Linked DNA regions of Struthio camelus. The protein of the gene in region 1 purifies or fractionates together with the protein of each later gene. This does not show direct contact. Links are inferred from orthologs where the notes say so. Each region holds a gene or a part of one and is shown on either strand. Other genes may lie near its edges. The genes, in order: IGF2BP1 and ELAVL1.

Evidence for each region.
Region 2: the proteins of IGF2BP1 (region 1) and ELAVL1 purify together in Homo sapiens (co-immunoprecipitation; 3 studies listed by BioGRID and IntAct, with this or other methods). This does not show direct contact. The link is inferred for Struthio camelus from reciprocal best matches to the Homo sapiens genes IGF2BP1 and ELAVL1.

The regions. Positions count from the first base shown.
Region 1 is NC_090966.1:5,259,009-5,274,944, reverse strand, and holds the start of IGF2BP1 (insulin-like growth factor 2 mRNA-binding protein 1), read left to right. Parts: upstream 1-9,086; 5' UTR 9,087-9,174; coding exon 9,175-9,349; intron 9,350-10,499; coding exon 10,500-10,560; intron 10,561-15,936. UniProt on the Homo sapiens protein: RNA-binding factor that recruits target transcripts to cytoplasmic protein-RNA complexes (mRNPs). This transcript 'caging' into mRNPs allows mRNA transport and transient storage.
Region 2 is NC_090967.1:511,365-527,050, forward strand, and holds the start of ELAVL1 (ELAV-like protein 1), read left to right. Parts: upstream 1-7,946; 5' UTR 7,947-8,143; intron 8,144-8,359; exon of another isoform or gene 8,360-8,432; intron 8,433-9,136; exon of another isoform or gene 9,137-9,257; intron 9,258-10,324; 5' UTR 10,325-10,519; intron 10,520-11,875; exon of another isoform or gene 11,876-12,048; intron 12,049-15,686. UniProt on the Homo sapiens protein: RNA-binding protein that binds to the 3'-UTR region of mRNAs and increases their stability.

The DNA.
Region 1 (15,936 bases):
ACGTGTACTGTGGGCGCAACACATATGGCGTTAGTCTACAACTTAACTCCACGTAGCACCTCCTTCTGCTGGTAAAAACTTCCTTGAGCTCCATCTTTTCTTTTGCAAAGCACGAATCTCATCCTGGGGAGATCCAGGCTGCTCCTCTGCTCTCTTAGAGATGAAGTAGGAGTAACTTTGCTAAAGCCACAAACTCGCATCCTTGTTAGGCGTGCTCGAGGACCGCAGTGGGAGAGCAGCCGGGGTAGCGCGGAGCAGAGCGCCCGTTCCAGCCCTTTGAATCGAGCTGCTTCTGTGCCGGGCGAGCGACGGAGCGCTTTCTCCGCACGGCTCGGCCGCTGGCCGGGGGCACTGAGGCCACCACCTCTCCTTCCCCTGACGCAGCGGGAGGGCAGATGTGCCCCAGATGTTGCTCATGCCAGAATTCAGCGAGTGTAAGGGGTAAAGCCACTTCCACCGGCTCTGCCGTGGCTCCATGCCTGGTGAGGTTCTCCCCAGCGTCTGACCTGTCTGACTTACCCCAGGACGGTTCAGGAGGAGAGCCAGGCCTGTTAAATTCTGATGCTGTTGGCTAATATAACGGCAAACCAGCTACTCTGGTGATCTATGATCCTGGCTGCTCCCAGGGGTGGACCTGGTACTCCAGGATCCCCCTCACGCACAAGTTGAAGGAGCAGAACTGGATTATTTTTGTACCAGGCTGAGCTCTGTGCACGCTGCCGCCAAAATGAAACACTGCCCGCGGCTGACTCTGCTGATTTGCAGAATACCCTGCCATCCGTGGTTCAGTTCCCCAGGGCTGGCTGAGCTTTTGCAGGAGGTTAGCGGCGTCACAGCCTTCCCCTCCGGTCCGCCGGCGTTTGCTCGTGTGGTTCAGACGAGCTGCTAGGAGCAGCAACCCAGCACACCTGGATGTAGGAGGGCTGCGCATTCACAGCCTCCCAGACTGGTGCTGCCTCAGCTGCATCTCAGATCGGCGTGTGAGCGAAGTCACTTTAGTGCTATTAGGGAGTAAGTATTGCTTCCGCAGGAGCTGCCGGACACGTAGCTCAGTCCTTTAACCAGCACCACACAAGCACCCCAAGGTCTGCAAAGGCTTTCACCCGCAACAAGCATGGTGCCTGCTGTGCTAAATGATGCAACGTAACAGTTACAAGTAGCCGATTTACACTCGCGGCACAGTTGCTAATCAATAAAATGGAGTAGTTTATCCTGGTTGCTTTATTATATGTATTCTGGGTACTTCACTCCCAGCCAACTCAGATACCTTGTTTCTCCAAAGCGCACCCTATTTGTTTTCCCCTCATTAAGTGCCTCCGTTGGATGTAAAGTTAATAGAGTGAAATAAATATCCAGCAACCTTAAATGTTGACCTAGTGTTCACAGTTACGGTTATTTCAGGGCGTCTGCTCATGATCCAATTTGGACTGCAGCGTTGCTCTGAAATTTCTCACAACCTTTCAAACAAAAAGGAAAAAAACCCACCCAAACAGATATACAGAAGTATTTCCAAGGAGACGTGGTGTTGCCTGCATTTCATTTGGTCTGTGTGATATCCACAGATCAATGCCTAAAATAGTTAAGCTTTGCCTGCCAGTTCAGGTCTGCAAAGTCGAGAGGCTAAGAGTGAAGCGCTAGCCCGAAGAAGGGCCACATACCCACGTGTGCTTTTTCCAGCGTAACAGAGGCGCTAACTAAAGACGCAGACCTTGCCCTTCCCTAGCCTCCGACCATCAGAGCTACCGCAACGCTTCCCCCGTCGCATTATTCGTGGGCTGCTGCCTTCTCTCCTAACAGGACTCATTTCACAGGCTTCAGCTGGGTCCCCCCTTTAGGTTTCACCCAGCCGGAGCGTTGACGTTTGTCTCCCTGCAAACCAGGTAGGAGAGTGAGGAGAGCTGCGGCTGCCCTGTTTCACCCTCCGCAACCACGCGGTCGCTCGGCGCTCCGCTTCTCAGCGATAGACCTGACCTGAGGAGTCAGTGTTTCAGGAATTTGGAAATACTTTGGGAAGATCACAGCTGTGTTCCTGAAACAGCCCTTCTGGTCTGCTTTGGGACACCAAAACATCTCAAGGGCAACTTTGATTTCAAAGCATTTCAAGTATTAGATGTCTCCGTAATCACAGAAAACAGGGCTGGGAGTGACCTTAGCAGGTCATCTATTCATTCTCCTCCTTCCAGATAGAATCAACTCTGCTTAAATCGTATTGAACGGCCAAAAGTCTAATCCGCTCCTAAAAGTGTGCTGCAAACTTCCCAAGAAATCTCTTACAGTGTTTAGCTCTGACATCTCGCCTTCCTCAGCGCCGCTGTCCTGTTCCCAGTGGATGCGGTGAACAACGGTTTCCCTTTCTGCCCGGAGCAGGGCTGCCTGGCGCCTGTTTGGCAGGGCTCCCCTTAGGGCACCGCCGTTCTGCCAGGGCGTTTCAGCGGCTGCGGGTGCCAGGTGAGAGCACCGCTGCCTGCGCCGGCGGGGGGGTCGCCGGGGCGGTTGAGCTGCCGCCGTTCCTAATCGTATCCAGCTCTGGTCGCTCAGCATTGGCATTTGTTCTACTCCTCAAATCACGGGGAGAGAGGAAGGAGGGATTTTTTGTGTTGTTTTTCATCCCCGTCCGCTCTCTGAGATGGCGAGCGTCCGAGCACCTTTCAGACTCTGCTCCTCGCTCAGCACCAAGTCTGCTCTCAAGGCAGCTTTGCTGCTGGCGAAGAGGCTCAAGGCTTTCTTTGGGGCTATTTCTCTCCCTAAAATACCAGCAATGGCATGTTGTAGAGGAGCTGTAAGTAACCCTCGTGTGCTTTTTTCTCACTTATCCTGTTGCATCTTGGCTGGGCACTAATTCTCTAAATACCAACATCTTTATCCCAACCCCCGGCTCTGCAGCCCAGCCTCCGCTCTCCTCCCCGGGCTGCCTGCGGACTGGCTGTCCGCTCGCAGCCTCGGCTAACCCAGGTGGGTCTTCTATGTCTCAAGCACCAGGGGTTTGGGCTGTCGGGATGGGGAAAGCACCCATCTGCTCCCCGCTGCCAGGACTCAGCTTCCGCTCTAGCTGAAGGCAGCGAGGATTTGCCTGGCTCCTGATCCCATCCCTGGTGCTTGAACCCATCCGGCGTTCAAACCGAGCTGCACGAGGACGGTCTGCCTTGATTTAGGGGAAAGCTTTGCAGTGAAGAACATCGCTTCAGCCTCTCTTTTGGACTCAAACCTGCCTTTCCCTCCAGTGCTTGCAGGGATGGAACAGGTTTTTTTACAATGGCTAAATACCAGATATGTCTTTAAATGCCAATACTCCCTTTTAGCTGCAAACAAACCCTAGGGCCTTTTAAGGCTCCAGCGGTTGTTCTTGACTAAGTCAGCTCACTGGTATGGCTGTTTCAGATCCTCCCTGGTTGCCATTTCTTTTGAAGAATCACACAAAAAAAAAAAAACCAAAATTAAAAAACCCCCAAAACCAGGAACCACAAAACACTAGTCTTCTCCATATTCCACTCTGCGCTTTTTTTTTTTTTTTAATGCAGAGCATATACCCCCCTGGGAGCAGGGACCTACAGCATATAGCACAGTAACTGGCGTAACAAAAAGCCCATGGTAGAGGCTGTAACTTCAATGCATTAAAGATGTACTTTGACCACAGAACCACGCCGGTGTACAAACCCCGCCAGCCCAGCTTTTACCTCTGCGTAGCTGAATGCTGTCGCTGCTTCGTGAGGGCGTAAAGATGATCTCGGCTTGCTATCGCCTTCAAGCTACCTGTGCTGTGTCCTTTTAGCACTTTACCTTGCGACAGCTACCTTGATGTGAAAAACACACTTTATTCCCTCTTGGAGCAAAGATAGAGCCAGAACTAAACAGCTGGAGAGATTAGAGCGGTGGAGCTGCAGGCAAGGAGAGGAAATAATCAGTCCCGATAAATCCCAAGTATGTACCAGCAGGACGAGAAACTAGACAGCACAGTCCACGGGAAGGCGTCTGCCCAAGTGGCCGGTTCAGTAACGCGAAATTATTTCCAGCCCGTGCCCTTGCCGCTCTCCTACCATCACTTTCCCCGCAGCCCAGCAGTGCGAGTGCCACGGCGCAGGCTGGGGGTATCGTTCAAGGTTTAGATTGTGAAATGACCTATACTTTTAAAGTGACCCACAGCAGCAAACTTGCTGCACAGTTTGCCACCTCCCCGGATACAGTCGTTTTGGGTACGATGAATGAGACGAAAATGGAAAGGCATTAATGACTGAGCCTTTCGCTGCCTCGCGCTGCAGGGAGTTTGAAAAGCGGAGGCAAGAAGAGCAGGACGCGGTGGCAAACCCTCCGTCCCGTGGGGAATTTAAGTGGCGACTTGCAATTATAGGGCCCCCAGATTCGTGCTCATGTCGTATAAATCTCATCTAAAAGCGTTCATTTCAGCCTGAAGGAAATCTGATACAAATACCTGAAGTCACTGGAAGGAAAACATTTAATCAGCGCTTTGTAAGTGCGGAGAATGGTTGGAGAGGGGTCCAGGAGATCAGCTCCTACGTGAAATAAGGTCAGGGGGAGTTCAGCAGCGGCAGAAGTCCATCCTCCAAGATGCTTTTTGAACTGCATTAATTTAGTTTATCGTTGTACTAAGACCAAAACTTTCCACCATCGCTCAAGCCACCCACGGGAAGAACGGCTGCTACCACTATCCGTCCAACTCTTTGCAAGTGATTTTGAGCAAGAAAAACTGTAAACTTACAGCTTAGGAAGGTGTGCTGGAAGGGAGCTGCTACATATTAATTTGGGGGAAAAGTGAAAATTGAAGGGACTAACAACACAATTATGGGGCTCTTTCCAATAAGCTTTTTTCTTTCCTTGCATCTTGAATTTCCCGCCTACGCAAAGAAACGGGCTGCAGCCCCCCAAGTGAACAAGACCATCGCCATTATGAAAAAATTTGGATGCCAAGCAGCCTTGTTTTGTTTCAGTCTGAACAGTTCATTGCATGTGCACAAGCCCAAACAGAGGATTCAGTTTTCTGCTCTAGGAGACCTGGAACGTGCAACCATCCGGAGACCTAACCAAAGCTGCCCGCCCCGCGCCGCAGCGAGCGCAGCGATAGCAAATGCTCACAAAGTAGAGAGGAGAAGAAAATAGCTGTTTGCCTGCGGTTTTCTCTTGTTTTTGTTTTAAGGAGACGCCAACTTTTAGCAGCACAGCCAAAGGATTCTCCAAGATGCGAGTTGATTTTTTTAAGCCGGGGTTCATCGGAGTATTTGCTTTGTTTGTAACTGAAGCACTAAAATGTTTAGGAAATATCCAAACGTCGAAGAAAGTTGCAGGTTTAACCGTTTGCAACGTCAGCTCTGCTGCTCTTGAGCCTCGCGCCCGGTGCTGGCAGAGGCGCCCCGGCCGGGAGCAGAGGGGCATTTCGCAGCCCGCCCGCAGCGCCTCGCTGGCGCGGCCGCTGCCCCGTCCTCCTCCGCCTCGACCAAGCCGCAGGCAGAAGCAAAAACCGCCCTGCAAGCGCGCAGGGAATCCGGGGATTGTCCCAAATCCAGCGCAATGCTGAATTTTGTTTCGAAGCAAACTGTTAATTTCCCAATCAGTTTGATTCTTAACAAATTTGGCAGCACAGCCTGGAATCGGCGGGACCTTCTCGGACGGGAGCTTCTTTTTTCCAGTGGTGAATGTTTTCCACATAATAAAAAGGGAACAAAAAGGGGTTTAAACTGTGATTCCACTTCACTAAGAGGAAATATTTCCCCACTGCATTGCTCGCTCTTCTTATTCTGTTGAATTCTCACCTGTGTTTTATGCTCAGGCTTGCTCTGAGCTCAGATGATTTCTGCTAGCTGAGAGCTAATTGAAACAGATTCTGCAAACATTAAATTCTTATTTTTTTGCTGTATGACCTATGTATTTTACCGAAAACTTTCAGCACACGTTTATTTGATAGTAATCAACAGATACTTTCAAACTCTTGAAACTGAAGAATTTCCAGAGTTTCTGGGGTTTTTAAATACACCTTTAATTTTCTTAAAATTAAACATAAGTGACAGCACTAGAGATTAAAAAAAAAAACAAATTAAAGAAAGATTCAAATGACAACTGGCAGAAAAATTACAGATTATAATCTGTTCTAGTTTACCACTAATCTGTCATAAAGATTATTTCTGTTTTAGGTATTTTCTGAGTCAGAGCACCAGCAGCACTTGAGCAGACGGCAGGAATTTCGCCCCTTTGTACGAAGCCCACGTTTCATTAAAACCTCAAACGCGCTGCTCGCCCCTCCCGTTCAACTTTGTACTCCAACCAATTTTTCTGAGCACCCACGCGGCAACAATCGCTTTTCTGAGTTGTGGAGAAATTGTCAGTTCTCTGTGAGCGCTTTCCTACCTGCTTCAGGGATTTATATCTAAGGGAAAAAACAACCAACCAACCTTTTGCCAAAATCAGATCTTACGTCTAAAGTCAGGAATAAATTTATGCCGACGCCGGAGCGGGACACCGTTTGTAAGCCCACGCGAAGCGGCCAGCCGCTCGGAGCGATTTCGCCAAGAAATTTAAGGAAATCCTGGGGAAGGGAGAAGGCCACGCAGGCTCCCCGAGCTGACAGCATCCCGGGGGAAACTGCAGCTTAGCAGCGCCCGGGCTGCAGCGCTCCTGACCGGTTGGGGCTCGGCAGCTGCTGCCGAGCCTGACGTCTGCAGGAGCAGCGCGGTCGCCCTTGCGGGGGGCTCGGCGAGCCCCAGCTGCCGGGGGCGGGGGGCCCGGCCGGGCAGCCCCCTCCCACCCTGCCCCAGCCGTGAACGGGGTTGGGGGGGGGCAGCAAATCAATGATGGAGCCTCTGCTGTTTGCATTCCCTAAATACCTTGCATCTGGAACGCTCCACCGAGGGGAAGGAGCTTGACTGATAGTCTTTCTTGTTTCAGACCTAAATTGAAGACTTCCCTCTTTGTTTGGTGCTTTTTTTTTTTTTTAAGGCTGGTTTCCTTGATTTCATTATTGCAAAGGGTTATGTTACACGGGCAAGGTGCTCGGTTAACCAATAAACAGCGGCAACAGCAGTATTAGGGTCAAGATTAGAAACAGAGGCGAGGCAGATAGGGGCTCATTTATTTTGACTTGTTTGCCCGCGACGCGCAGCGCGGTGGAAGCCCGTGAACGTCCCAGGTTTCAGCCCGCGAGGGTGCGAAGCGCGCTGTCTGAGCTGCAGGAGATTTATTTCCAAATTGCATCGCTCTCTCCTTTTCGTCTGTGACTTTTGAGCGTGGGTGACACGCCGGAAGCCTTAGAAACCTGCCCGTGGACACAGAAAGCCTCCTCTGGCTGCGCCGGTTTGGTACTTCTAGGAGAGCCAAATAACGCAGCTGGAAGGATGGAAACCAGACTTGCCCTGGTGAGCAGCATCCACACGCTGCAGGAGCAGCGTAGCAGAGAGCGGTTCAGAGCCGGGAGGGAAAGCGGACTGCTCCGGGCTTTAAATGAGCGTTTGGCAGAGGGGTTTTTTTTTTTTTTGCCGTTCGCGTGAACGAGACGCCCGGGGGGGCTGCAGCGCAGGCGGGCGTCCGGGGCTACGCGCGCCTGCTTCCTCGGACCCGCGCAACTCGCCCATTTCTGAGCGACCTCGGCTTTATTTACTAACAAACCCTCCACGCAGCTGAGCAAGGGGCGGGGGGCGGGGGGGGGGAAGAAAGAAAAAAAAAATCGAAAATAAAAAAAAATATCGGAGACGTAACCGGGCGCCCCGCGGAGGGGGGAAGGGAGCGCGGCAGCGCCGCTGCCCCCCCGCGCCGGGCGCGCCCTCCGCGGGGCTCTCCCGGCGCCGGAACAGCGCGCACGCCTTGCGGGAATTTTAATATATAGATATATATTTTTTTGGGGGGGGGGTGGTGCCCCCCGTCTGGGCCGCCCAGCACGTGGGAGCGAGCTGCCTTGCTGCGCGTTTTCATCGGGAGCGCGGAAAGGCCGGACGGAGCCTCCGCGGCGGCGGCGGGGGGAGCCGGGGCCGCCCCTGCCCGCCGCCGCGCTGCCGAGCCGCCCGCCCCGTCGGGGGGAAGGCAGGAAGGAGGCTGGGGGCGGAGGACGGTAGCGGGGGGGATGGGGAGGGAGGGGGGGGGGCTCGCTGCTATTTTCAACCCATCTCGAGCCTAAAAATAAAAAGTCTCCAGAAAAGGCTAGGCGGGGAGGGAAGGGGGGGGGCTGCCCCGCACACGCCGCTTTGCCGTCGGGGAAAGGCCCTGCCCCAGCGCGGGGCCCTTTTGTGCCGGGAGGAGCCATCCCCCCCCCCCTCCTTCCCCGCAGCCCGGGGGCTTCCGCGGGGCCGCGCACCAAGCGCTTAAAACAATGCCGGGGCCCATCCTCCCGCCGGGGGCGCGCAGCCCCGGGGGGGCGGCCCGCCCCCCCCCCCAGCCCTGGCGCCAGGGGACCCTCGCGGCCCCTTTGATACTGAAGTTGTTTTTTTTTTTTTTTTTTTTACACCCAGAAAAATCCCATTGAGGCACCGGGGGCCGGCGTGGGGGGGGGAGGGGCGCCGGGGGGGAGGGGCGCGGTGGGGGCGGGGGGCTGCAGCAGCAGATGGCAAAAGTGCCTCCGACGGGACGGCGCTGGGGAGGGGTGCGGGGTGGGTGCGCACCCCTCCCCGCAGGGTGGTGGTGGGGGGGGTGGAGGTAAATACCGTAGTATTTAAATTAAAATAAATAAATAAGTGGCGGCGGCTGGGCCCCCTCCCCCCCGGCCCCTCCCCCCGGGGGCCGGGCCCTCCCGCATCACCACGTGGCTTCCTCCAGCAAACATTTTCACTCATTTTCCAGGTCGGTTTTATTTAGAGGCGGTGCCCGGCTGCCGAGAGGCGTCCGGTGACACTCGAGTGCCACTCGGCCGACTTGGGGGCCCCCGGAGCCGGCGCCGCCGCCCGTCGGAGCAGCGCGCCCCGCCGCCGCGCCCCCCACCTCCCCCCGGCTTGCTTTCCTTTCCCCCCCCCCCCCCCCCCGCACCGGGAAATAATCCCCCCTGGATTATTAACCAAAAAAAAAAAAAAAAAAGAGGGAGAGAGGGGGAGGGAAACCCCCCCCCCCCCGCAGCCCCGAAGGCGCCCGGCGGCGGGGCGGCAGCGCGCGGCCGGAGCCCGACGGCGCGGGCGCTCGGTGGAGGCGCCCGGCGAGGCGCGCTGCGAGCCCGGCCGCCCCCCCCCCCCGCCGCCGCCCCCCGCCACCATGAACAAGCTCTACATCGGCAACCTCAACGAGAGCGTCACCGCCGCCGACTTGGAGAAAGTCTTCAACGAGCACAAGATCTCCTTCAGCGGGCAGTTCCTGGTCAAGTCCGGCTATGCCTTTGTGGACTGCCCCGACGAGCAGTGGGCCATGAAAGCCATCGAAACTTTTTCGGGTAAGCGGCCTCGCCCCCCTCCCCTCTCTCCCCTTTCCCCCCCCCCCCACCCGCTTGCTGCCCCCCTTCCCCGACCCCGCATCCTGCCGCCGGGCAGCCCCTTGTTCCCCCTCCCCCCGACGGCGCTTGCATCAGCGCGGGGGCCCCCGCAGGCTGGGGAGGGGGGGGGGCGACCCCCTTTTCTCCACCCAAAAGCAGCTAGCGGAAGGGTGAAACGAGGCGGGGGCCTCTCCCTGCCCACCCCCCCCCCACACACACCCACCCCGGCCGGGCCCCCGTGGGCGCCCCCGGGCCGGGCGCGGCGGCGGCGGCGGCAGCGCGGCGCCCGCCCCGCCGGGGCTCGGCCCGGGGGTCCCGGCGGCAGCGCGGGCGGTGGGCTGGGACTTTGGCCATTTTGATTTGAAACTGCCTTGGCTGGGGCATGTGATGCGCGGAGTAGCGCGAAGGTCGCCATGCTGCTCGCACGGAGAGAAAAAGCTCCCGGGGAAGCAGCTCGGCTCTTTATTATTATTATCATTATTTTTATTTTTTTTGAAATTTCGATTTTTTCTTCCTCCTTTTTTTCTTTCCCCCCCCTCCCCCCGCCCAGCTCTCCCGCCGAGCTCTTCCCATACCCGAGCCCCTCTCCCCAACCCCCCCTCCCTCCCCCGCCCCAAATAAACCAGCCGCAAAGAAACCACCCCGTTTTTCAAAAGCGAGAGATCCGTTTCTGCCGTGAACGACTCGGAGCCTTTGGGTGGGGAGGGGAGAAGGGGAAAGGGGGGGGGGAAGGAAAAAAAACCCCAAACACCCCTAAAACGAGGAATTCCGCGGGAATTCAACACGAGGCTTTGAATAAAGGCGAAGAAATCCCTCTCCGAATATCCCTCTCCGTTTTCTCCCGCGCGGAGCGGAGCGGAGCGGTGGGAAGGGGGCAACGGGGTGTCCAGGCGGCCGCTGGCCGCCCCCTCCCGCCGGGCTCCCGCCCCATACAACGCGCCCGCGGGGCAGCCGGCGGCCGTGTTTGCGTGTAGATCCCCGTAAATTCGGAATGAAAACGAAAGGTTTCACGTGGTAGCATGTTCTCCAGGGCTTTTATTTGTTGCCCCCCCCCATTGTAAAAAAAAAAAAAAAGAAAAGAAAAAAAAACCCAGACACATTTTGTTTTTAGGGAAAGTGGAGCTTCATGGAAAGCAGCTAGAGATTGAACATTCAGTGCCTAAAAAGCAAAGGTAATACAGCGTTTTATTTTCTTTTGTTAATTTTTTTTTCTTTGCTGTTGGGGAGGGGGGAAAGGAGAAAAAAAAAAAAAAGGCCGTAAGATAAAGGAGACAAAAAAAAATATCCCCAAATATGTGCATGTGAAAGGAGATATGTTGGCGATTTGGCTCCCGATCCGTCCTCTGCGAGGTGGGAGTCAGCGTGCAGGATCAATGTTGAAATTTCCTTCCTTTTTTTTCTTTTTTTTTTTTTTTTGAAGTTAACTCTGAGAGCAAGTTTAAACCCTAGCCGAAACAATGACCCCGCCGCTCGCTCGCCCAAGCTCGGGCACGGCCGAGGCGGTTTTGGGGTCTGGGTTTGCAAACTTGTGCAGCCGGGCGCGTTTCCGCAGCTTGCCCCTCTCCTTCGCTGGGAAGCGCCTGCCTTTTGTTTTCCGCTTTAGTTTAAAAAAAAAAAAAATTAAAAAAAAGAAGAAAGGCCAGGGGGAAACGTGCTGGTGGGACTGGCGAGGCCGGGCGAGGCGGGGGGCCCGGGCTGGGCCCAGCTCCGCGCAGCCCCTCGCCTCTGCCCCGGGCTCACGTGCCCGGCCTGGGCCTCCGGCCTCGCCGCGCTCTTGGCCCTTTGTTGTGTGCTTGGGGGGGGGGGCTGCCAGCCGTTTTGGGGCAGGAATGCTGAAAAAGAGAAATAAAGAATAAATCCCCCCTCCTTTTTTTTTATTTGGGGGGGGGAGGGGAGTACCCCCAACCGAACGCCCCGCGCCAGGGAGCAGGCGAGCGGCTGGCCCAGCCGACTCGTCCACGTTGGATGGCGCGGGCCCCGGGACCCCCGGGTCCACGTGACGAGGCGCTTACCTCAGCGGCGGGGCCGGCAGGGAGGAGGCCGAGCCCAGCAAACTCCTTCTCCCTCAACTCTTTGCTGCTTCCCTCCGATTGACCAAAAAAAAAAAAATTTATATATATAAATATATATATATATATATATATATCCCCCGGCGTGATCACGGGGGAGTCCATTTTCCTGGTGCGGGCTGGGCCTTGCCGCGGCTGCCGCCAGGCCTTGGCCTTCACAACTTTGCCCCAAACCCTCCCTCGGAGCTGGGGGTCAGGGAGGGGGAAAGGTTTTGGGAGGGGGGGGGAGGCTAAAAGCCCCTCGGCCTCCAACCCCGGGGTCCGGCTCGTTTAACTCGAAGCCCCAACTCCATCCCGTAATTTTGCCTCTGGAAAGATTTGGGAGCGACGGGACCTGCCTGGCGCCGAGCTGATCGATATTGCTCCTTACGGCGGCCGACACCTCGCCGTGGCTTAAATATCCCGGAGCGGAGCGGTGTTGTGGGAAAGGCGGTGACGGCGCGGAGGGGACGGGGGTGACGCTGGGCCAAGGGGGCCTCACCGTTCCCCCCCTCCCCGTAGCCTGGCTCCATGATCGATAGCTTGGGCCGAAGGGAGCGGATTTCACCGTCTTGCCTGCTCCGCTCTGCCCTGCCCTGACTTTTCTCCCCCTGCGTTATTAGGAAATTATCTCGAAATGTAAATATTTCTTTGGAGGCTGCAGTTCCCCTCCCTCTCCTTCCCCCCCCTCCCAAATATCCACCCGCCGCCCTGTTGTCCAAACTCCACGGTAGGTGGAATCGAACCCGAAGGTTAGTTGGCTCGTTTTTAATGAGAACCAGGAGAAATGAAATTAATTCCGTCGAGCTGCTAAATCCCGGGCTGGGGGGTGTTTTTTAAATTTAGCCACATATTTCTCCCCCCCCCCCCAAATCCGCTGCCTTTAAAGCTATAGGAGCCATTTTTGCTGTCGACTGTCTCCGTGGGCTTCCCCCTGGCAAGAAGGGGCTTCGCGCTGGGTCGCCCTCTTCCCGGGGGGCTCCTGGAGCCCGGCCGGGCTCGGGGCTGCAGTTACTTGGTCTCGGTTTCGGGAGGCGAGTTTGTATTTTGGGAAAGGGGGGGGGGGCAACTTTGCAGGTTGTTAGCTCGAAGCAGGCTTTCGGGGCTGAGATGTCGTATTTTACTCTTCTCCCCCCTCCTGCCCTTTTTTTTTTTTTTTTTTTTTTTTTGGATAAAGACCGAGATGCTGGGACTGCCTCTGTGTCTAAGTAGACTTTGTGCGTGTGTGTGGTTTTTTTTTCTTTTCTTCTTTCTACTTGTTTTTTAAGACTGGATTTTCCAGTTTCAAGACTGCACAGAACAGGAAATGGTTAATTAAGAGTAGTAAGGGCAAAATCAGATGTTTTTGGTGTGATTTGAAACAAATGCCTCCCCCTCCCCAAGCTGATATGAATTTTTTCTTTGGGGGGGGGGTAGTGTAGAAATATGGAAAACAAGACGTGTTCATTTGTGTGCTTTCCAGATGATTTATAAAATAAAAATTTGGCTTGATGGTTGTGTTTCTTGTGTTTGAAACTGCAGATGATGATGCTCAGTCAAACTGGTGTGGATGTTTCTTGGAAATGAATGGCTACAACAAAACTATTTGTTGTAAATCGATGTTGCATGTTGGTGTATTTCCTTCTTTAAAATCTCTCTTGCCCCTGATCCCATCGTAGAAATGAATTAAAAAGTAGAGAATGTGTTAATGTTGCACCAGAAAGAATGCTTGGTGTGTAGTTGCCGCACCAAAATGCGCAAGCATGATAAACTGATTTAGGGCTGTTTAATTACAGGGATTCTTCAAATAACACTTAAGGCTGCAAATGTTGTTAATGGTTATAGGCGACCATTTTAAAGAAATACTTTAGAAATATTTGACCATAAAGAAAAGAAACTGCTGGTAAATATGTCACTTCGTTCTTGGCAGTGAATCCTTCAGAAACCCCCTCAGTTTTAAAAGTTTGTTTAGATTTTTTTTTTTGAAGCATCTCATTGTTCTTTTGAAGTTATTTTTTTCTGCAACTTTGCTGATGGAAAAAACTTGGGGAAAGCTAAGAATATATATATATATATATATATATATATATACATACATATATTCAAACCTGAAAATTATTACATGTGTTATGATTCAGAGGGTTAAAGAAGAAAAGATCCTTTAAAAAAAGTAAGTTCAGCTTCTCCTCCTCAAGATTAAGAACTGGTTTTAGGGGGGTGGTTAAGCCTCTCTGAAACTGAAAAGACCTAAGCAGATAGCATTAAAAAGAATGAATGAATGAATAAAGGAGGAGGGGTGAAGGGGGGAAAAAAGTGAATCCATCAGGCAGACATTCCAAATATGAGGAATGTGGAAGTGAGTCGACCAGAGAGAATGAAACCAAGTAATTGGGGGGAAATAGTGAGTTTGGTTGATAACAGCCAATATACTTTAAACTAAAAAGATTTGTGCGGGGCATTTTGAAGCAGAGGCGATTCATAAACAACATGTGTGTTTAGAAGAGTCAGTGAACTCTCAGGCAGGAGTGGGAATTACTATATGTTATTAATTATGAGAAGATTTAGTGTAGCATATAGAGAATTGGGTGGATAAATCTTGAATTGCCACTTCTTTTTTTTCAGGCTTTGTTTCAAATTAATGCATTTGCACACTGCAGAAGCAGTCTTTTGTGTGTGCATAATCTTGGCATTAATTATTCATAACGAAATATTTAAAAACTTTTGATAACAGCTAGTGTAAATTCTTTGTTCTTAAGTATTAACTTGAAAATACGCCTTCCTACCTAGAATTCTGTGCATTCTGTGAAAATTGAGCCGAAAGAAATGAGGTAGTTCTTTTTTGTGTAAAATAAAGACACTGTCTCAAATGCTGCGACAAAATATGTTTTTAAGCCTTTGTTCAGATCCTTCGCTTCCCCCAGAACAGGTCTGTTTGAGAAGTTACAGTATCTTTTAAAAATTAGCAACATTCTTGTTCACAACAGTGTGTGAAGATTGAAACACAGGATGAAAGCTACTTTCTGAGAGTGCTGAGTTTGATATCACTTCATTCGTTATTGTCTTTCTGTTAAGAGAGAAAAAAAGCAAGAATCTTAGTAGTTCTTTTCAGATCTGTTTCATGAATGTCCAGCTCTTAACTCAAAGGCACTTTTTAAATACTCATTTTACACCTCTGAGAACTGGCATAACTCGCAAATTAATACAGTTTGAGCCTTTCCAGCTAGAAAAAAGTAGAAATAATTTGTCATTGTCACGTCCTCCTGGAGTAAACTGCGTCAGTTAGGTTTAAAACTGAGATAATCTGCCCAATTTTGATAAACACAGGGGAAAGAATATGCTTAGCAACTTGCAGCCTGGAGTGACTGTTGACGAAATGCCTTGATGTCCCCCTCTCCAAGTAGCAGCTGCAGCTGGCAAGTAGGTAAAGAAGTTGCAATTTAAGTGCAAACTTTGTAGCCTCCAGTTTTGCACCAGCAGCGGAGGGGAGTCCCTCTTTGCTAAGAGTGTGATGACTTTTAATTTTAGAAGGAAAGAAGAAATCTGCCCCTCTGGAGGGCGCGCCTGGCCGTTGCGAGGGCTCGGTGCGCTTCTCCGCTTTAATTTCTTTCTGTCTTTGCCTTTTAGGTTAAGAAACAAGCAAACAAACCCCAGAGATACGGATAAGGGAAGTGGGGTTAAAGTACTCCCTTTGAAAAGCGAGACCTTTCAGAATTCAGAAACGTGCAAGATTTCTGCCCACCGCGTCCCCCTCCCCCTGCCCAAACCCCAGCAATGTTAATGTTTTCCAGAGTTGCCAGGAGGGTCTGGGAGAGTTCAGGAAGCGCGAGAGGCTGCTCGGCTCGGCCCGAGGTTAGCCCAGGGCTTCGCAACTCAAGGAGGAGGCAAAAGTCTCCCGGCCCCTTTTGCCCGTTCGGAGCCGGGTCGCTAAATCTCGCCCGCCCGCTTTTTGCCCCGTTTTCCAGCCCTGCTGGCGGCAGGGATGCGAGGTGCCTGCCGCCGAGCGGCTCCTCGTCCTGCCCCTGCCAACGGTGCCCCCGGCTCGGCGGAGGGGCTTTCGGGAGCGGGGCGAGCGAGAGGTGGGAGCCGACGGGGGCAGCAAACCCAGGGGTTGCAAACGCCTTCGGAGGAGAAAGCTTTCCAGAAAAGTTGGGGAGGTTGTTTTTTTTCCTTCTGTTTTTTTTTTTTTGGTTTGATGAGAGAAGCTTTCCAAAAGTTTTAAGCGAGAACTCTCCTCCTCTACGTCACCGGAGGCATTTAAAAGCTTAGCCTAAGGTGGGCGCTCCTAAATCGCCCGCTTCGCAGAAGTGTTAATCCACGTCGCCAGCTGCCCCTTTCCGCCGCTGCGTGAGAAGGGTTTCCTGGCCGCCAAGCAGATAAAGCTAAAACAAGGGATAAAGCAGGGTGGGGGGGGGGGGAAGGCAGAAATAGAAGCGTGCAGGATCTGCGCATCATCCTGGCTGCGAGGCTCCTCGTTAGCTAACGGCTCCGAGTCTCTGTGCACCTTTAAATACTAATTCTGCC
Region 2 (15,686 bases), on another chromosome or scaffold:
GGTCACCAACTAAAAAACACAAAACAAAAAAAAACAGGAAGTGCCCATGGATTAATACTTGTAAGCTTGGCGTTATGACAGGCTAGGGAATAGGCTGCTGCTGCTGACTTCCATAACCAGAGTCCTGTCCCCACTGTGTTTGATGCGCTCCAGATGTAACAGCTGTATTGGCCTGAGAGTGGAAGCATAAGATTTGCCATGCAAGAGTTCGCTGTATTGTATGGCTTGCTGCACTGGCTGGATGTAATTAAACTATAGCTGGCTGACTGCTAAAAAAAAGAAATACATGAAAAATATAAACAAATATACAGGAGCACAAAGTTTTACTTAACAGACCCCGTTTCCATTCACAGAATCCACTCATACTGCATTTTATTAACACCCTGCAAGACAGTCAACGTATGAAGGCTTTGACTAACGCTGCAGTTCAAAGTCTGTGCTACAAAGTTAGGGTCACAAGTGATGAAGACTGGAGTTAAGATAACCACAGGAAGAAGCCAGAACACAGGTCCCTAAGAAAATGACAGCAGCACAGATTGCACACTATGATGAACAACAAACAATTTTACCTTTGGTACCATGGGCAAAAAATACTCATGCTTTTATCCAGCACTAAGTCAGAGTAGGACTATTAAAACATCTCATTCACCTAAGCAATGTATCTCACTCCTCGGTCCATTATTACATCTTTGCCCGACAAAGTATAAATCAGGCAAGTGTAACATGCTAAAAGTTACAGCAGTAACGTTTAAGGAGCACATAACATACCACCCTGAGAGGGAGCTCTCCAATGACACACACATTTAAGAATGTGCCTGAAGGATGCTATTGTTTGGTTTAAGTTCAAGCTTTCATTTTTTATATTACTCTTAACTGTGTAATTCATTTCAGAGCCCAACATTTATTTGCATATGCAGTATATGCCTATACATTTTATAATCTAAATATATAGAAATGCTATTACCACTGTGAAGACAGTGATCAGTATTATCTGCTCTAAAGCAGTCTTCAAATATGAGACTATTACCATTTAATTAATAACTATTTAAGCACTATAAAGTGTCATAGCCTTTCAGAAACAATAGAGGACTAAGTCAAGTAGACTAGATGTGACACATTCAAAACTCTGCACTACATTTTAACATTATCCTCATCCTTACCATTGATCCGCATCAAGATAAAACCTAGCGCAGAGATTTCATGCTTAGCTTTACAAAGAATCTTCAAATCACTAAGCAGGTAATGCAAAAGTACCTCCCTTTAGATAAAATTCTATCACTTGTAACCCTATGACTTTTCTCCCCTGAACAACAAACTAGAAACAGTCTCTGTGTATGCACGAAACAGCCATTCCAAACTTTGTCCAGAAAAGGATGCTCAAGACAAATATGTGAGTATGCTATGTTTTTGCTACATTTTACATCCTCATTTGCCTCAGTCTAAATATTTAATGCCCTCATATTATCCCTGTGCGATGAAGAAATGCTATTACACAGAAAGAAACAGAACTACAGAGACCGTGGAAATGCTAATGTGGTTTCTGAGAAAGGAACACAGACAGCAGCCTGGAGATCACAGAATGGCTGAAGCTGGCAGGGACCTCTGGAGAGCACCTAGTCCAATCCCCTGCTCCAAGCAGGGCCAACTAGAGCACGTTGCCCAGGTCCATGTCAAGCAACACAAGCAAAGGTTATTTTGGTTCCGAACTTTGTACTAAATGCTTGCGTGAATGGTGCATGGGCTTTATAAAGAAGGATTTTTATCTACGTGACTGTTGCATCTAACACTATATTGCACTAATAGGATAGCCTACTCCTTCCAGCAACACAGACGTAGACTCTTGTTCTATCAAGAAGCAGAGAAACTTGATTAAAAAAAAAAAAACAAACAAGAAAAGCAAGAAAGTATGTTACTAAAGAAATCATTAAAACCAGATCTCTGTCAACTCTTGACTGAGTTAGTCACAAGGAAACAAATCCTTTTATCATTGAACTGAAATGAGAACAAGCTATCATAGCATATATGTTAAAGGAAATACAGCCTTTCAATTTCTATCTTGCAAGTTTTGTTTCAGACTTGAATTTATCAAGAGTGAATAAGTTATTTTCCATATATCCTTAAGCTATTAGGTTACAAGACAATTTTTGTATTTAGACATTTTACCAGCGTGCAACATTTCAGTTTGTTATTAGAGATGAAGTAGAGTATGAGACATACAATGCAGATAAGTTTCCCATTGTAATAAACTGTTAAGTCACAGAGAAAACCAAAGGAAAACAAAAAGTTCATTAGTTGTAACAGTTCACAGAACAACATCCCTGAAATGACATTTTCCTCATGCAGTGGAATAATGGACAAGAACTTCCTCTAAAAGTCTTTTCAAATCATCCTAAAGTGTGGAAAACTGTTAAGAGCATTCCTCCTTCTCCTACAGCTCTACTGCTTTCGCATATATTATTTTGAAGCCATGGTTCACTTCAACATCCAAGCCAGAGGTTTTTTTTTTTTTTCATTTTTTTTTAAGAGTCAAAAATTTACAAAGTTTGAGTAATTTATAACTCCACTTGCTTTCATGTTTAGTTATTTAATTTCAAAAGATGAAACAAGGCTAACAAAGTTATTTACTTCTTCCACCTTCAGAAACCATTAAAATGGAAGGCCACGGATAACAGCAAACAATTAAATTGAGACCTTCTAAAACTGGATATTAATATTACTGTAACAATTACAAGCATTAGTCTCCAAAACTCTTTCCACTGTGCATGCATGGAGAGAGAAACAAGAACCATCATCCTTTGTTAAAAAAAAAAAAAAAAAAAAGCAAAATATACTGAAGAGAAATCTGGAGAATGGGACAGGAAAGGAAATTGAACTCACATATATAGAATTCAAAAGCATCGTGCTGCGAGTGTTAAAAACCTAACAGCTTCCCATCCTCACCAGAAGCAGAATTCTGTTATAACCCCCCCACCAAAACAAAACAAAACAAAACGAGTCTACATCATGGCCCTGACTTAACATTTTATAAGTTTAGCTCTTGTAAGAAATCAAAACTTTGAACTGCAGGTTGTGTGGGTGGTTTTATTTATTTATTTATTTAAATGTTCACCTGTTCTCAAAAGGAAAGTTATTTCTCTGTGAATGTTTTGTAACCTTTACCAAAGATAAATTGCTTAGTCACGTTGACATTTTTACACAGTGCTATCTTTGGGAGTCACTTTAGAATATTATCTTAAAAGTAGTTTACTAGAGATCTTAATGCAATGAATGCACAAATTTAACCTGCAAAATAGGGAAAAAATTCTCTGTCAGTATTGGGTAGATCCTAAAGCCTGAAATATCACTAATTCAAGAAAGAGAGACTCTTTCTTAGGAAGCTTACTGCTCATTCAGTTCAAACTATACTGAATCCTGTCCCAGAATACATCATACAGTCAGTAGAAAAAACACCAATGTCTACAGTTGATTTTTGGTTAAAACAACTACAAATTCAGTATTGTCTTCTGAGATGTCATGTTAGAAGGCAGTAGATAGCAGTTATGGAACAACTAATTTTCCATTCACGTAAGGCAGCCTACGTTTATACATGCTGCAGTGAACTTGTCAGGGGGGACCTTTTAATAAGGACAATACTGGAATGCTATGGTGTTATCTGAAGGCCATGCAGGGTATGACCAGGACCATTCTGAATTGGTTTCAGTCATACCTGACAGAGCTCTCCCACATGGTTGTGATGGCTGATCTGTCTGAACTAAAGATTGTATGTGAATTGCCCCCAGGCCAGTTTTGACTTCAGTGATTTTCAGCATCTGTAAGCTGCTTTTCGGAGAGATTTTTTGAAAGACAGGGCTTGGGCTCTTGATACTATGCTGGCGATACCTCTTGTGTATCTCTTATTTCCTAACTATTATAACACTCAAGATATTTGGGACTAGATGACTAGAAATTCTGAAATTAAACCTTTACAAGACACAGATAATGCAGATTTTTTTTTTTACTAACATTTCCTTAGACATCCCACTGTCACATATTCAGAGAAGCATTCAGCATGTAAATATATACAAAGTGTAAGCTTGGTATTAAAAACAAAAACAAAAAAAGCCCACAACTAACCATCATCCTGCTAGATGGCCACACATCTGCTGGCACTTTGATAAGGTAACCAAGACACAATCCCTCAAGATAGAACCCATGCTTCATGGTGTAATAAAGTTTACAAGATTACCTGAAACATTCACCTGGAAAGTGTAAAACTCTATATATTTGGGGATAAGAACAGATCAAGGCTACACGTTGCTTCACTTTAAGCATTTGCTGCAGACTGGTACGCTTAACACATCATTTACATCTTTCAACCGTGATTCTGATATGATGTTCAATCCTTCTACAAAGTTTGGTGACCTAAACAGATTCACGCTACTACAACACAAGATTCAACAGAGCTTTGATGTTTCAAGCTTTCACTAACAAAAGTATAGTCATACTTTCCTCCGTAAAGCCCTGTATCTTTACAAAAATCTCTCTTAGAGTTCTGAAATATACCCCTGAAGAATGAAATACTTGAAGTCTGATAGCAGTTATTTTGTCGTGTATTTCTTCCATGGTGGTGGCAAGATCACAGACTCAGAATCACAGAATGGTTTAGGTTGGAAGGGACCTCTGGAGATCATCTAGTCCAACCTCCCTGCTCAAGCAGGGTCACCTAGAGCATATTGCCCAGGATCACATCCAGGCGGGTTTGGAATATCTCCAGCGAAGGAGACTCCACCACCTCTCTGGGCAACCTGTTCCAATGCTCTGTCACCCTCACAGTGAAGAAGTTTTTTCTCAGGTTCAGATGGAACTTCCTGTGGTTCAGTTTCTGCCCATTGCCTCTTGTCCTGTTGCTGGGCACCACGGAGAAGAGGCTGGCCTCATCCTCTTGACACTCCCCCTGCAGATACTTGTACACGTTGATGTGATCACCTCTCAGTCTTCTCTTCTCCAGGCTGAACAGGCCCAGCCCTTGCAGTCTTTCTTCAGAGGAGAGGTGCTCCAGCCCTCTAATCATCTTGGTAGCCCTCCAGTAGTGCCATGTCTCTCTTGTACTGGGGAGCCCAGAACGGGACACAGTACTCCAGCTGAGGCCTCGCCAGGGCTGAGGAGAGGGGCAGGATCACCTCCCTCCACCTGCTGGCAACACTCTGCCTAATGCACCCCAGCATACCATGGGCCTTCTTGGCCACAAGGGCACACTGCTGCCTCATGCTTAACTTGTTGTCCACCAGCACTCCCAGCTCCTTCTCTGCAGAGCTCCTTTCCAGCAGGTCAACCCCCAGCCTGTACTGGTGCAGGGGATTATTCCTGCCTAGGTGCAGGACCCTGCACTTGCCTTTGTTGAACTTCAGGAGGTTCCTCTCTGCCCACCTCTCCAGCCTATCCAGGTCCCTCTGAATGGCAGCACAGTCTTCTAGTGTGTTAGCCTCTCCCCCCAGTTTAGTATCATCAGCAAACTTGCTGAAGATGTGTAAGGCTTGCACAAGTGCTGTAAACGTTCAAGCCAACTGATAACTTCATAAAGTCTATAAGATTATTTTGGAATTATGGCATCCATATTGCCATAGTTTCTGTATTTAAGGTCACCCAGAATACAGGCTCTGAAACCATAAAGCTCTGTCAGTGACTGCAAACCATTCATATCAAATATTAAAATCACAGAACGCTTTGTAATTATTGTTGGTGCCAGTAAAGATAACCTCAGTGTCAAGTTTGACAGCAATGTCAATGGACTTACCATTACTGAAGTATCTAAATCAAACTCATGGCTTCAATGAGGCAGTTACATCACTGTAGACATCTGAACCATATAAGGACAGATAAGCAAATATATTTATGTGTATTGTTTTTGTGGTAATAAATACTTAATCTTGAGACTAACACGCTGTTCGCAAACCACCATTCCTGAACCATATATCCCACTCCTCATAACTCCCTACCATTAGTTCACACATGGGCACTTGAGTACAATGCTTTGCCAAATCGTCCAAAATACAGAAAAGCAGGCACCTTCCTCAAGCCTTCCAGGAAAGGAAAATAAAGTAATTCAGACAGCGCTTACCATGCATTTTCATTTTGCTTAGAATCCTGAAGAAGTTTCAGGGATTGAAAGATAGTAAGAAACGCAATTAATGTTTTCTTATTGGTAGTTTGACTGATAAAGTGTTTTTCACATTAAACTGAGATTAGAAGATGTGGTCACTCAGTAAGCTTAGCCTGATTTTCTCTGCTAAGCAAAGCTACAGCAAGCAATGAGGTCTCATGCACAGGCTACAACTAGTAAGCAATATGCAGATGCAGTGATTTACTTTAATATAAAAATGCTAAATACTATGCTCCTATAAACAAGAGACATGAACACGTGAAAGCATGCTACCAGCAGTCACAAAAAGTTACTATGCTTTAAGAAGGGATTGTCTTAAGCGTCACAACTTAAATGTGCATTCAGATTTGTCATAAAATATGACATGTGCTTCCCAAACATTTTCTTCTGTTTAGATTGGGATACATAGTAAGATTGATTGATCATAAAGTAAGATTGATCATAAAAACGGTCATCAATGCTTTTATATTTTAATTGCAACAGATAGTTAGCGCTTCCTGGAAAGAGAACTATACTACAAATAAACACTATATCAAGCAGTGACATCATTCAAAGCTGGTATAAGACTATGCAAAACCACAAGCTTCATAAATAACGACCTTGAAATAAAAAGGACTACTGGCAACCAGATAAGCTTCCACTTTGCTTTCTCTGTTTTTGTTGTTTCGCTAGGGAGGTATTTTATTCACTAAGCTTTCATTAAGATGTTTTCAAACACCGGGCTAACATACAATGTAACTGCTGTACAAAAAATAGGGAAGAAAATTGCAGAGGCCGTTAATGCACAAAGGAAAAGCAAAATCAAAGAAATGGGAAGAGAAAAACCTTCAACAAGGGCTTATTTACCTGCAAATTTAAATTGAATTTTAAGTTATCCACACTTGTCCCCAAGCCATTAAATGTGACAGGTTTAATTTGAAAAGTCTGGTACCTCACTGTAGTGGCACAGAGAAACCTCAAGTAGCACGTTCCACCAGACAATGCATCCACTATTCAGTGCAAAGAGGCTCTCCACTTGAAAGCTCACTAGCCCTCCAATGCTTTCCCACTGTTTTCTGCATTGCTCTAATAAAGGCCAGAGAAATCCACTCACAATTCAATGAAAATTTAAAGGGGGCTTCTCTTATTGCTGTGCAAGGAACAGCAGAATATGCCCCACGTGACATAATTCACAAGTGAAACGACAGCACTAGCAGAATGAAACAGGTACTTAAAACTAACCACAATGAAGGTAACTCCTAGAAAGGGAAATACCAAATACGACTCCATCCTTCTACAAACAACCAGAAGGAACTTCTGGAGAGCACAGAACACTCTGAACAAGTGGGTATTATCAGAGCAGATCTCTGGGGAGGAAGCTACCCTCAAGAATGATGACTGGGTAAGAACCAAGAAATTCCCAAGAGCCACAGAACACCAGAAGGAGTGAAAGGAGCAAAGGGGAACTACAAGAAAAGTGAAATCAGAAAGCATTGTTTGGGAGGATGCTCACGGTGGAGCAATACAGCTACCCTTGAGTCTGGCAAACAAAATCGCTGTCTGGGGCCACAAGCCACAAGGAGATAGAACTGGGGTGTCAGGTACCCAAAAGTCTTGGAACAATGCCAGGGGTGCTTGTTCAAAGAAACAGAAGATAACACTGGCGGCTGGAGCTCTGAGAAGACAACGGAACGGGTGGAAAAAGGGCTCTTAGGGGAAAACAGAGGTCTGAAAAAAATACGATGCCCTACGGGAGGAAGGGGAAGATAAAGAAACTGAACACAGCAGGGAGGAAGAAGGCCATCACAGAGGGAGGGGAGGGCAGAAGTGAGGACACCTTTCAGGAGCTAGTTACTTCACAAGGCAGAAAGGACGGAAGAGGGAGCTGGAGCTCCAGCACCTGGAGCCCGAAGCCCCCAGCGCACCCCGGGCCCAGGGGGACCCGGTCCGTCGCCAGGGTGCGATGGGGCGAGCGCAGCGCAGCGCCGCGACCGCGGTGGAGCCTCGGCGAGAGCCAGCCCCGAGGCAAGCTGCCCGGCCGCTTGGGGGGGGGGGGGGGCGCGGGCGCCCCGCCGCCATTTTAGCCGCCCTGAGGGCGGGCAGCGCTGGAGCCGCCATGCCGGCGTCGCTCCGGCAGCGGCGAGGCGGGGCGGGGCCGGCCGTGGGGGCGGGGCGGGCCTGGCGGCGCCGTAGCGGCGACGGCACCGGCGAGGGGCGGCCCACTTCCCCGGCCCTGGTTACCTGCCCCAAGGCCGGGCGGCACTCTGCGCGACGCCTAGCAGCTCCCAGCCGCCATTTTAGCGACTGCAGAGAGGCGCGGGGGGGGGGGGGGGGGGAGGACGTGATGGCGCGGGCCCCTCCCGCAGGGGGCGCGAGGCGCGGGGGGGAGGCGGCCCCGGGGGGAGGGTCGGAGCTTTTAGACAACTGCGACACGTCTGCAGCGAGCGTTAGGCCGCTGATTACTGATGTGCTATATCGATGTCGTTACATCAATCACCTGTTCTCGACATCCGACACTGGTGGATGCCGTGAGGCCAGCGTGGTGCCCTGTCTGAGCTGTGGGCGCTGGCTCCCCGCAGGGAGGCAGAGGGGTGGCAGCAGGCTGCCAAAGTGCTACTTTAAACATCGTTCATGGGGCCTTCCTGGAGCAACTAATCAGTATGCCTGGAAATACATGCCTGAATGGACCTAGAAATCTGTTCAAGATAGATAAATATATATATAGTATATTATGTAATATATATATAGTCATTTTATATATAGATATACCTATATATCTATATATGAAATGACTTTAGTATACCCCAATTGACCACTCTTGTGGTCAAGGAAAAGATAAAGTAGAGTTATAGCGTTTTATCATAATGACAAAAATGATATAAAAATAAGAAAGCTACTTAAAAGGGCAGGATAAAAAGAATCTGTGGAGAAGTCTGTCAGAGCCTTCCAAAAAAACGGTCTGGAGCCACCATCCAGGTCATGAAGTCCTTAAATGAGTCACTGCCGAACTTCTTAAATGAGTCACTGCCGGAAGAGCGAACCACAAGGGCTGTGGCTGCTCACACGCCTGCTTTGTGTAGTTAGTGTGACTTGACTAAAGCAAGCAGACCTGCTTTCCGGTGGACTGCTGATCCTACTGGTAAAGTGCTCTTACATTCTCTACTAAACTCCATCTTAAAACTAATGAGGCATTTTGTCCCTGTTACGTTTCTTAGAAGGCTCCGCAACACTCTTTCTCCTTTTGTAACCTGCAGTTTCTAGCTGATATTTGCTCATGGCGGTTTGTAACTGTTTGTCCTTGCGGCAGTCACTTCAGTGCTTCACTTCACATTGTTCATTTTCCTGCCATATGCAAGAACCGAGTCGACAAACCTCTTGCAGGATCACCAAATATAACTCGGTTGGCACTCGGTTTTCATGTTTCAATGTAAATCAACGACTAGCCTGACTGAACATACTGTGAAGAGCCAGATGACATTGCATTGCGTCATCGTAAAATGACTTCACCAGGACAACTCGCTTTACATTTTAAGAAATTCTATGTTATCGTGAAACTTGAAAACCAATGTATTTTCGCAATGAACTGAAACATGGCAACAGAAATTGAATACATTTCAGCAAAATGAGATCATTCCTTTAAAAAATGACATACAGGTTAGTAGGATAATACCACCCAATTGTCATCATGGTTTTCCATAACACAATGCTCATGATGATAAATGAAATAATTATATTGAATATGTGCTGCTGTGAATAAAAGTATCAAAGCTCAGTGCAGCAGTTTCATGCCTACAGCCTCAGTTAGAAATCTGAGACCTATCTTAGGCCTAAGAACAGGGCCACTTAATTAAAAACTGAATGATACAAGAAAAATGCAAGATACACAGTAACAGAAAGCTGCCATTGATGTGAATGACAAAATTGAGATATTGTGGCTGGCATGCATAGCATCATGAGCAAATGACAGATGCACAAACATCTTTAATATTTTACGGGGCCTTGAAGGTTATTTCCAGGCCTGTCAGGCTTGGAATTTACATATAAGGATTCCCCATCTGGCACTGAAAGCTATGGTAAAGACAAAAGAAAATGAATAATAACTCTCTCCAGCGTTTCTCTTAATGGTTAACCTCTTCAATGGACTCTTGATTTAATGATGGTTCCCATCACCTCCTCTTTGATACCATGTCCTCCATACTATTGCAGAAACTGGCTTGTTCCTGGGCATCCTGTATGGAAGATTAGCATCCCATATATAACAGCCCTATAACAGGACCACATGATAGGGTTTCTGAAACGGATTTCTGGACAGAAAACCAGATACCATCAGTGCAACAATGCTGGGAATTTACTATGCAAGGCCTTTGCCAGAGGCAAAATTGGCATCTGTTCCAAGTCAAGGTAGGTAGAGGAAAGATATTTACATTCTGAGCGTGTGATTTTCCATGTGTTCCAGGGTAATTATTACTAGGTACACAGTATTTCCATATGTATACATGCAATGAAATGGCAAAGGACACATACCCTATATGGTTTTGCCATTGTATCTCAAGCGTCCATCCTTCAGACTGTATCTCACTATTTCTAGTCCAGAAAAAGGTATATTAATTTGATTTTAGAGTCATGTTACTCAGCTAAGTACAACTCCAATTCATGAGTTATCTTTGATAAAATAACATTACACATTTTAGTGCAGCAATACCCTGGTGTTACTTTTTGGAATATTTGTTCAAAGTTGAGTCCCAAATTTAGATCTTGTCAGGTTATACAGAATTTACAAAGTCTTGCAAATTCACAAGTGAGTCAGGCACAAAACAAACTGTTTTGTACCAAGGGTGTTATTGCACAGTACTATGTTAATGACAAAAAGACACTTGTTTCCTGCAGAACAGTGGAATTTTACATTCAAGGACTCTGCCTGTGCAGTGGAATTAGGTATGGATGCAAGGTATCCATACCTTGCATAGGTATGCCCTTGACTACGAAAAATGTGCTGGGTCTGGATGGAGGGATGAGAAGAGTTAAGATCATTGCAGAACTTCCTAGAGCATAGAAAAGAGCTGACCACCAGAGCTTGCGCTATAGAGCATTTCTAGCATTTCATTTGCGTAGGAACAATTTAATCTCTTAACCAAGAGTCATAAGCATTCCTCTGCACTATTGCTCAGCAAGGCTCCCGTTTCTCTTTGCTGCAGCTGGCACCGTGTCTACATCCACGGAGAGAGGTGGCCAGCCAGTGGGGAGTCACTGACCGCAGACACCCCAGAGCCTGGGGCTGTCCTGCTTTTGCTAGCTGCTCCAGTCTAGTCTAACTTCTCCTACAAGGAGAAACTCGTATTTCTCCCTGTGGGAGCACAGCGTGGAAGGATTTGCACAAGGGGATCAATGGAGGCAAGACCCGCATTCCCCTAGCTCCTGGCAGTCACCTCAGCAAGGCCCAGCTGAGCAGGCCGAGGCTGGGGGAGCACCAGCTCGGCAGGCTCCGGGCAGGCCCTGCCTGAAGCCCTGAGCCGTCCCTGTGGGGGCTCCCTCCAGCCACGCCGCCGGCACCCGCCGCCCCCCGCGGCCAGGAGCTCCCCCTCTCGCCTCCACCCACGCCTGCCCCTGCGGCCGGGCCGGCTCGGGCCCTGCGCGCCGCCGCCGCCGCCGCAGGCTCCCGCCTCGCCTCAGGCGGGCCCGCGGCGGCGCGCAGAGCCCGACTCCCCGCGCCAGACCGGCGGCGCCCCTCCCCCACCCGGCGCTCCTCCTCCCCGGCCCGCGCTTGACCGACGGGCCTTCGGGCCAACGGGGCGCCAGACACGTGCGCGCCGCAGCCAATGGAGCTCGGCGGGCGGGGCGTGGGCGTGCCCAGCGGCGCTGCGAGCGGCTTGTTGTGCGCGCTGCGGAGCCGTTAGCCTCCCGCTGCTCAGGCCCTGCCGAGCCGCCGACAGGTGAGGCCTGGCCGGCTCGGGCCGCCTGGGGGCGGCTGGGAAGCCCTACGCGGCTGCCGCGGGGCCGGTGGGGGCAGGAGCGGACCGGAACGGACCTCGCGGGCCGCGCCAGTGAGGCCAAGGCCTGGCCCTGGGCCTGGGCTTGGGCCTGCGGGGGGAGAGCCGGGGCCTGCGGGTGGGAGGGGCCAGCCGCAGGGGGAGCGCGGGCCCGGGGCGGGCGAGCGAGCCGGGGCTGCGGCCTGGGGGCGGCGGGGCCGGGCCTGTGGGGCGGTGAGGGCCTGTGTGGGGTGAATGGGCCCCGGCTGGTGGCTGAGGGGCCTGAGGCCTCTGTGTTCGCGGGCGGTGAGGCCGTGGGTCTCGAAGCCTGGGGCTACTGTTGAGGGAGCCGGCCCTAGGTGGGAGATGCACTGCCTGGGTCTATACCTTGTCTTGGAGGAGTTGTTCTTCCGGTTAATGCTTGTTGTCCTTTATATTTATTTTGTGTGTGTCTGCAGTAGATATTTTAAATCTCCCACCTTCGATAAGACTGGTGCATTTTTATTGATTGGCAGTATCTGAGGGTGGGCTTCCTAATGTGGACAGCACTTACTAACATCAACGCTAATTTTGGCCTGCTAAGAACAAGGTTAGGAAATGCTATGTTAACTGCCTTTGGCCAGAAGAAGTCACAACTAAAGTAGTATCCCACTATTGTTAGTGCTGGTGAGAGGTTTTTCAAAGTAGAGCACTTACTCTACTTGGCGATTGAAAGAGGCAAGAATGCGTTAGGGCAGCATTCAGTGGGAGGATGTGTGTGAAAAGAGTGTGTGCAGAGGTAGCCTGGAGAAAGGACCACTGAGCTGTGGTGGAATAATTTGTACAGAGGTGAGTATGCTGATGACCATATTCTGTAATGTTGGGCAGTGGAGTAGCCTTATCTATAAAGGCAGAGGCCTATATCTGAAGTTTGCTGAGAAGGGAAACGTTTAATTCCATGAAGGGCTTATAGCTTGGATCCTGTGATCCACATATTGAGATGCCTGTGGGAAAATAAGGGAGGGAACAACTAAGAAGGATAGAGATTAATTTATTAATACCTCTTACTAGTACTTCTTATTAATGTAACTGGCTACTGACATAATTGAGCACTTCTCTTGATCTCTGTATTTCTCCTCCTTTTTCTCTTTCATTTTATGCCATGAACGTGGATGTTGATAGCTCATGTTTTACAACTCCTGCCTCTTTAGCAGTCTGCTGTCCCCCACTACTCATGTTTGAACTACTTTCCTTTCTAGATGTATGTGAACAGAGTTCTTGCAGACCCATGCCCCTCTCTTTAAAAATGGGGTAATGTCTATATTCTGTATGCTTTATCAAGCCTATATGAGACGTTTTCATCAACTCTTGGACTTCCAGTGACTCTTGGGTGTGGGGGGGAGGGGTGTCTGTACCATGTGATAGTAAAGCCTAATTCCCTGAGCCTTCTGAGTCTGTGCAGCATGCTGCGTTACTCTATGGCCATGCTAGATTTGGTTTTGAAGCAGTATAAGTGCTTGTGTGATGCTGCAAATGAGTTGTGTGGCTTCATGTTTAAAAGTGTTCAGCAGTTCTGACTTAAAGAACTCCTATTACCTGCCCCTGCAGTATGCTATCCACTCAATTTGGTTGGAATGAGAACAGGGACATCTTAAGCTGGTGTTGTGGTTAAGTATATTGTATAGTGAATTCTTGACTTTAGTTATTTAGCCCTGATATGAGTGGGATAAATGTGGTTATACTGCTTTCCCATGTGGGATGTCTCATGCAGTGCCAGGTTTGTGGGAGCAATAGTAGTAGTATTAAGAACAGTCTAAGTGGAAATACCAATATTGTATATAACATCTTTCTTAACTTGATCGCTTTTGTTGAATTTGGCTAGTTGTTGATGTCAGCTTACCATGAGCTGTGACCTAAGCTCCTAGTTCAAGCACTCTATTTTCTACTTGCTATTTCTTGCATATTCTGTTACTTATTTTCTCCTGAAAAAAATCTCTTGACCTGCCAGTGACATGTTGATTTTTCTTTTAAAATCTGTTTCTTTAAGCCCTTACATGAGCCTGCTTTGTTCCTGAAGGGTTGGTCTCTTTAATGTTTGTTGCTTGTTTGTCACAAGGCCTCTGTGAATTGATTACAGTAAAATGTTATTAGATATTGCATGGAGTGTGTGTCTTGTGGATAAGCTACTTGTAAAGATGACAGACTGTTTGCTAGTTAAAAAAAACCTCAAGCTTGCTGTACTTGCACACTTAAAGATATTTGGAAATGCAAAAAAACAAAAAAACAAAAAAAACAAAAAAACCCACAGCTATCTCTTAGCTCTATAGAAAAAGCAAGGAAATTAGCTTCCCTCTAATTTAAGCATTTGGAAGCTATGACATGGTCCCAGCATAAGAGAGGTGTTAAATTTTGCTTTCTACTAAAAATTGGTCAGGGCATTTTTCCTGATTGAACTGCAATTCTCTGATCTAGGTACCTGCAAGCTTCAAACTGCTGGCTTAAATGATACATTTGATTATACAACCTCATTATATGTAGGTGATGTATGCAAAAATATATTTTTAAGCTTCTTTTGTTCTTGTTTTTCTTTTTTGAGGAGGGGGATAGGGTAGAAATAAGCTATGCTGAGAAGACAGAGGATTGCTTTTCTTGTGTGTGCACATGCGTGCATTTTTTTTACTCATATTGCTAGTAGCAGTGACATAGTGAAAATAAATAATAACTTCCCTCTTACCCAGTGCTTCCTTGGCCTCCTTGTAGGAGAGCAGTAGCAAGTGTTGGCCCCTCGTCAAGCCTTCAGAGATGGATTTCCAGCTATTTGTGTTCTGCTGGTGCTACCTGTTTGATACTGTCTGCTTCCATTACTTCTCTTGCCTTCCTGTTCCAGCAAAGTGGAAGTACCAGCTGCTAATCCAAGGATGAATTGAATCGTAGTGGGGGGTGTCAGAATGTGTCTGGAAACCATTGTTCTTGTGCTCTCTTCTCATCTTCTGGAAATATGTGCATAGGAGAGGCATTCTTTCCTTGAGTGTTTTCTTTCCAGCACAGTTCTTGGTCTCCAGATTTTTTTTTTTTGAGGCCAAAAAAAATTAGCCAGAGGCAGTGACTGGTCAAACAGTCTGATGCTGTCTAGAACAAGGAAAGTGGTTGATTTCTTTTATTGATGTCAGTTTGTAGTAAACCTGTCCTTTATAAAATACTGGTACAGAAGGTAGTCTCAGCCAGAAATAGTTGTCCAGCTCTATCTTTTCTGCTCAAGAACTCCATTATGTTAACAATCAGAATCTTTGACCCGGTGACAGAACAACTGTGGAAAGTATTGAAGTGAAGCTCTGAGCACAGTTTTATAGCCTACTCTCTCATGTCTAACTATTAACCTTGAAAGATGGGGAAATCTGAGATCTAGCTGCAGTTTGTTTAGTATCTTAGTTGCGTAATTTCAAGTTGGCCCTTGTTTATAGACATCAAGCAGAGATGATTTGGGAGGCCCTGAGTCTTCCCTTCACGTTGAAGCAGAGGTGGATGACAATTATGGCCAGTTCTTACCTGTTTTCTGGCAGCACCCTAAATTTGGTTAATTTTTATTCCTGTGAATTGAGCCTAGTTCATCAGACTGATGGTAA